Linked DNA regions of Drosophila melanogaster. The protein of the gene in region 1 purifies or fractionates together with the protein of each later gene. This does not show direct contact. Each region holds a gene or a part of one and is shown on either strand. Other genes may lie near its edges.

What was found.
Region 2: the proteins of lin-28 (region 1) and Tre1 purify together in Drosophila melanogaster (affinity purification with mass spectrometry, with the first as the bait; one large-scale study listed by BioGRID). This does not show direct contact.

The regions. Positions count from the first base shown.
Region 1 is NT_037436.4:5,652,924-5,656,677, forward strand, and holds the start of lin-28 (lin-28), read left to right. Parts: upstream 1-1,757; 5' UTR 1,758-2,056; coding exon 2,057-2,123; intron 2,124-3,395; coding exon 3,396-3,532; intron 3,533-3,681; coding exon 3,682-3,754.
Region 2 is NC_004354.4:5,678,059-5,681,812, forward strand, and holds the start of Tre1 (trapped in endoderm 1), read right to left. Parts: upstream 1,920-3,754; 5' UTR 1,602-1,919; intron 1-1,601. Other genes in the region: Gr5a (gustatory receptor 5a), read left to right, coding at 2,669-2,777, 2,843-3,103, 3,165-3,359, 3,427-3,695. UniProt on the Drosophila melanogaster protein: Essential for the first active step of germ cell migration: transepithelial migration of germ cells through the posterior midgut (PMG) epithelium.

The DNA.
Region 1 (3,754 bases):
CTGTTCCAATTACGCACATGTGAGTGCCTGCCATCCGTTGCATCCCTAATGGGCACTTTCGCTCTCGCCGCGTCCTTTGTCCCTTTGGCCGGCTTTGTCCATCGACCACTGGCCAGCGGATTGAGATTGGGAGCGGCTTAGGGCAGCCAAAATATTGATTACAGACTGTGCGACGGCTGGCTCACGATGCATTGTTTTGGGTTTTTTAGCATTTATTTACTATTGATAAAACATCAAACTGACCCTCAGTGACCCCTCAGGCATTAACAGCGCTCGCCCTTCGGAAATTTCTGATGATTTTCATCTTGTTTGGGCCTCGATTGGTTCATATTACCTTTTTATTTGCGTTACCAATTTTTTACATTGATACCAAAACAAGCTGTGAAACATAAAATATTACTTATAACAATCCTAGTTTTTAAAAACAAATCCTTTTCATAACAAGTCTTCCGTTTATCTAAATGTTGTCAGTAGCAGAAGTTGTTCATTAGATAAACTAAATATTCGAAAACATTTCTGCGACATAGTTATTTATAAATTAGGTCGAACAACTAATTTTAATTTGCCCTACTAATTTCTGGTAATTTTACAAAAATATTCTTCCAAATTTATCCTTCGAAAACATTTTTACTGCAAATCGATCCTGGTCTTGCCAAATTTACGAACCACAAAATGTTCATCTGATGCCTCCCCTGTGCATTTGATCCTCGATACAGTTTCCGCCCTCGGATCGACTGTCATCAATGGCATTGGTCATCGATTTGGCACGCCAGCGTGGCACGTGCCGAAATTAATTGCTACAATCCGGAGTCGCAGGACGAAAAGGGAGGAAGAGGCAGGACGAGCGTTCGCAAATATGTTGCACAATGCAGCTCGGGGGTGCATATTTCATATCAGCCGGCGAGGGGTTGAAATGCATCGAGAATTCACAGCTGCCCGGCACGCGACTTAAGCGAGGGTTGCAGAACGCCAGTTGTGGTGCAGTTTTTTAGTGCAATTTTTTTGGCAGTCACCAATGGGAATAGTTCGCTTTTTAGCGGCATCTTTTTTTTAGGGAAGTGATCAGCCTATCAGGATAAAGCAGGATTCGGGGTGATTAAGTATTTCATTTTATAAATTATTTCTATTTGCACTTTGAGTGAAAAATGGAGGTACAAAGATTTGTTCCTAGATTGGCTATAGTTTTAATAATTTCTCGAATGGTCATTTTAAAGATAGTTACAATTTGAATTTAAACATTTTGGAATTTAAACTATAAGTGCTTACCTATGAGGCTAACAATATAATTGTATAATTGCTAATATAGTCATAAAAAAGTTAATTAAAACCTATTCAGTCTAGTTTGTATAACAGTTTAGTTTCTCAAGTATCCTGAAGTGCGCTAGTCTCACGCACTTTTTTAGTGCCATACAGATGCAGATACATCCCAATCCGAATCCGAAAGTGTGCTCGGCATTTAGGTTCTGAGGTCTTTTTAGTCGACATAGATAAATTTGGCTCTCACTCTAGCGCTCTCTCTCTGCACGTTTTTCGGTGTTTCTCCCCGCGATCGTCATGTAGAGTATCTGTCAGATACATTTACGCGCTCAACTCAAATCGAAACCGAAACGGTGCGAATTCACTCAACTTTCGGCTCGGCGTTTTCCACGCTCACTCACCGACACACCAAGCACACACACACAAGCGCAGAGTCGAATATTGTTTTCAAGATACTGAGCTAAATATTTTTCGGGCCTGCTGCGACCTTCCTAGAAATAGTCAAACGCAACGCGGAGTCAGTGTGACGAAGTGCGTCGTGCGCAGCGGCAGCGTTTTCCTAATTTCCCCTTCGCTGAACCCAAAAATTCGAGAAAGTGCTGTAGCTGTGTTAGTGCGGGCAGTGAAAGATACAGATACAAATACAGATACGGATCTTTGGCCACATGTCTGTTCGTTGGCAGGAAAAACATGCATTTGCAGTGAAGTTTTAAGCAACATTGAATTTTGGAGCGAGTAATCAAACAATTGAAGTGGATTTTAAACTAAGAAAAATAAACTAAAAACCCAAGAAGTCAGCATGGAGAACGTACAGCTGGAAAATGGCTTGGAAAGGAGGACCACCAGCCAGAGTTCCACTTCATCAGGTTTGTTTAGAATATGGAGTAGAGTGAAACTAATTTCCAGCTAATGCATGAACGTCACACGAACGAACGTCTACATTCCCCGCTGCCCACAACAAACGTGTTTTGTGTTCCAAAAAAAGCGACAACAAATTCAATAGGAAATCTTATCAAACTGATTGCTGATTGGCTGTGCGATCGCCCTAATATTTGGTTTCTGTTTTTGTCTGGTTTTTTTTTTTTTTATACTGCGCAGTTCTTTTTTTGCTGGCGTATGTTTTTCTTGGTTTCTGTTGTGTTTTTGCCATTCGCTGATTTGATTTTTTATTGGTAAATTGGGGGGTTTCTATATACAGAGGTGTCATCAACCCCCGAACATTGACCGACTTACCATCACACTTCGATCAAGGACACAGGCAGTCCAGTTGAGGATTATCCTCGCCTCAATGCATTTGAGGCATTAGATCTGCGCAGACTTACAAACCTAATTGAACGGGGAAACCAGTTTGCGGCTTACCTATAAGAAAAGGAAAAGGACACCCAACCATCCCAAAAGGATAATCATGTAATGGTGGTGGTTTGAGTAAAGAATGAAAGATTTTCATTCAATTAGGTTTCTTATCAGACGCAAAAGAATTTCCAAGATCTTAAAAGTCCATTCACGTTCTCGCTGGAAATGAGTAAGAAAATGCTTGAGCAGCACAACGACCTAGAAATGCCAGCGCAACCCCCGAAAATGAAAATTTTAATTCCAGATAAGCCAGAGCACAGGCATGAGAATGCATTCCGAGTATCTGGGCATCTGGGCAATACTACGAGTACACTCAAGTACTAGGGCCCACTTCGACAAATATATAGATAAGCTGGCAGCGAAATGGGAGCGAGCGAAGTGAAAACAATTTATGAATGAATGAATGAATGAATGAATGAGCCAGCCCAAATGGATATGGGCTGGTGCGAGTGTGTGAGTGAGATGAGCCCCTGCTTAGATAATGGAATGAATCCACTCCGCCGCGCCGCTCGTTCAGTTATTTCCGAATATTTCTTATAATAACAACGAAACCTGTTTTCTGCCCTCAATGGGCGTTGAGTTGGGATGGGGACGTGGAGGGCTAGAGAAGAACCTAACCCAAGTTGAACTTGCCTCGCGGCAAATGGGGCAAGGACACGATGAATGTTGTTCAGCTGCCTATTTGCCGCTTGGTCATTTGAATAACAAAACCTTGAACAGAGGGATTCCCAGACAGGATATCGAATTGGGCACCGAACTCAAGTTTCATTTTCTATTCCCTCCAGCGAATCCGGCAAATCTTGCGAGTCCCACCGAGGAATGCGGTTGTGTGCGACTGGGCAAATGCAAATGGTTCAACGTGGCCAAGGGATGGGGCTTCCTTACACCCAACGACGGCGGCCAGGAGGTGTTCGTCCATCAGGTGGGTACTCTCTTTCTTGGATGAAACTGAGGTCTTTCCTTAATGCAAGGCCTTATGTACTATCCGATAGAATATGGAAAATCGGTATAATAATTTAATATTTAATGCATTAATTCAATATAATTCTCATTATAAACGTATGCATATAGAGCGTCATCCAGATGTCAGGTTTCCGATCACTGGGCGAGCAGGAGGAGGTGGAATTCGAGTGCCAGCGCACGT
Region 2 (3,754 bases), on another chromosome or scaffold:
CAGCTAAGCACATAAGGAATACGATATGCGCTATGTACATATATACATATTTACATCAAAGTCTTATCAGCCTCGGGTTCCCACCGTCCAAAAAAAAAGGCGGAACGAAGCTTTATAAATAATCAATCAACAAATATTTACAATCAAGTATTTATGTAGCGGGCGGAAAGTCGAATGCAAATAAGGTTAGACGCATTTGTACATATGTATTTTCTTAAAGGGTTCCTCTGATCAATATCTGCCCGTTTTTATCTAGCCCCGTTTATAAGGCTGTGAATGCCCCGATTGTGTTGGTCGTGATATCAATTAAATCGGCATAATCTCATGTCATCTTTTTAAACATTATGATAGATAAAATGTATTATAACGACTCTAATTACATTGGGATTAAATGGGTTTTCGGAAAATACCTATGCAGTAAATCAAATTTAAGATCAATGTGCAGTTATTTGGGGTTTCTTGAGTTAGGACCTCTGTTTTAATATTGAGAATTACTCGATATTATCTTCCGTTTTATTTTATTTTCTGATCGTGTCGGTGCACGAGAAATACATATTTCCCACTTTTGTTGCATTTCGCTGACTAATCGAAAGCTAAATACCAAATAAGTTTCCGATATGGGGGGTATGTATGTACATACATACATATATAGTACGAGTATATATAATATACACTGAATAAGCCCGAGCATACATATGTACATATGTAGATAGTGCACATGTGTATTGTGGATCGTTTTGGAGCTGGGTTTTTCTTTGCTTTTCGTCGTTTTTAAGAGACTTGAGCTGAATGAGTCGCTACCAACTGTTGCGGTGGGTTAAAGGGTGGGGGGAGGGGGCGAATGGGGATGGGGGATGAAGATGATGATTCATGCAGCTGATGTTTGGACAGGGAAGAAAGAAAGAGCGAAAGAGAAAGCAAATCGGAAGCGGCGGTATCAAACAATCTGTTTAAATAACAACAAAAGACTTTATAAGCCTGACTTTCATTTCCATTTCCAATTTATTTTTCCCAAGTCTGGCTCATTTTGTGCAAATAAACAAATGACTCATTTGTTTAAAAATTCGATGAGACTCAAGGAATGTCACATTCACAAAAATTTTCAATTTGAAATCTGAAAAGATTCAACAGCATAAGCAAATGAATTTAAGATTGCGATATTTGGGTATTATCCTTAATTGGCTGGCTGCCTAATGTAGATTTGTTTTTCTCGGTGTACCGATGCATCCTCTTTGCCCATCCACTTCTTTCTCCCCTCTTTGCTGATTTTTTTTTTTTTTGTTTTGTGAGAGGGTGGAATTCGGGATTTGGGATGTGAGCGAGAAGGATGGCCATATTTTGAATTGTGGAAACAGCCGTTCCATTATCGTTCCATTACAAATGCACACACACACACACACACACGCGCGCGTGCAGTTTGCGCTTCTCTGTGTGTGCGTTTGGACCAAATGCAATAACAATAAAAACGCGCAACTCAAATTGTTAACAAAGGTAAGGCCGTTTTTTTGGCCGGATTTGGATTCTGGTCTTGAAAGAGAAACACACACACACACACACGCACGCAAAAAACCAACGAAAATAATAACAAAACAACAACTCACCCGAACTCGAACCCGTTTCACTGTTTTCCGCTTATTATAAATTTATACTTCGTTTGGCGTTTCTTAAATGCTTTCGAATTGCATTTTGGATTTGACATTAAATCGCTCCGCGCAGCACAGTAACAAAAATAAACGGAACAAAATAAATACAACCAGCCGATTCTGGCCTTCTCACAATTCCGACTTTTGAATTATCGAAACAGAAGCGCTGCTTGGGCCAACTAAGCCAACTTAACTAACCGATCGCAGAGCGCAAAGTGTCGTATTTTCACTGTCGTCAATTAACAACAGCGGCAACAAGAACAACAAACGAAATGAGCGGCTGGGCTACAGTTTTTTAGTCCGAGCGCGATCGAACATGTTGGCTGCCTGGCAACAAGTTCGATGCGAACTTTTCTATTGATCTAAGAAATCGGCGTTCTATCGATTGACGCGCTGCGCAGGCGCCTATCGATTTTTGAAATTCTAAGCCCGCCTTAAAGGATATTTGTAGAAAAGTAGCTTGCAAAGAAATTAAATTCCTTGAAATAAAAAAGAAATTTAGTACTCTCGTTCTATACTCACTTCTATTCACTTGCGGTTAGTTAGTTAGTTTTTAATGCCACATTTTTATGATGATGACTTTTTTTCAGCTCATCTATGCGCAATCAATTTTGCGCCAAGCGACAGCTGCACATAGTTTCTTTTGACCAAGCAATCATTTATCATATAATTTTCCAAGTAGTAGTGCCAAGTTCATAACTGATGGAGTGTGCTGCCAATTTGCATGTTGTGGAGCCATTCAGTTTCAAGGTCGCGCTAATTAAATACTCGTTACAAGTGATGCCAAATGTATAAATATTTGAACAGAACGTATTAAATTAATATTATCCACTAAGAGCACTATTTTAAATTCTTAAAAACCAGATGCACGTCAAATAGATGTACATAAAAAGTATATTTACTTACAAATATCATACACGGACCTGTTTTATTCCTCATCACTGGCCATTAGTTGATAACATGTGGACTTCTATGATATCCTGCTGCATTTTTGCCGTTTAGTCAGGATTTAGAGCTTGTACACAATGCGACAGCTGAAAGGGCGAAATCGGTGCAATCGTGCTGTTCGGCATCTGAAAGTTCAGGGCAAGATGTGGTTGAAAAATCTTAAAAGCGGTTTGGAACAAATTCGAGGTGAATCTATCCAAATCGTTAGAATCCCATGAGTACGTTCATCTTAATTACCTTTTACAATCCAGAAAGCCAGGTGCGGGGAACGCGAAAGAACTTCCTACACGATGGCTCCTTCCATGAGGCAGTTGCTCCAGTTCTGGCGGTGGCCCAGTGCTTTTGCCTAATGCCCGTGTGTGGAATCAGTGCTCCAACGTACAGGGGATTAAGCTTCAATCGGCGCAGCTGGCGATTCTGGTACAGCTCCTTGTACCTCTGCTCCACGTCGGTGGATCTGGCCTTCAGCATTCGCCGTGTGGCCCACAGTGTGCTGGATGTGCGCAGTGTGGGTGAGATTAAATGATGCTTTTCTTCGCAACATACCAATTGCATATGTTAATTACCATTTAGAGCCCATCGTTTTTCACGTTAGCATCCTGATCGCCTCCTGGCAGTTCCTGAACCTGGCCCAACTCTGGCCTGGATTGATGCGCCACTGGGCGGCGGTGGAGCGACGGCTACCGGGCTACACCTGTTGCCTGCAACGTGCTCGTCCTGCCCGTCGCCTCAAGTTGGTGGCCTTCGTGCTGCTGGTAGTTTCACTGAGTTGGGTCACCAAATTTGTTTGGGTTTGGATTTCGCTGAGTATAACCGGGCGTGCTTTTTTTTCCAGTGGAACACCTGCTGAGCATCATTTCGGTGGTTTACTACGACTTCTGCCCACGAAGAAGCGATCCCGTGGAATCCTATTTGCTTGGCGCCAGTGCCCAGTTATTCGAAGTGTTCCCCTACTCCAACTGGCTGGCTTGGCTGGGCAAGATCCAGAATGTGCTGCTCACCTTCGGCTGGAGTTACATGGACATATTCCTAATGATGCTGGGCATGGGTCTCAGCGAGATGTTGGCCAGGCTGAACCGCAGCCTGGAGCAGCAGGTGCGACAGGTGGGCTAACTAACTAACTTTCCTAACACACATCCATCATGATCGAGGATGGATATTTA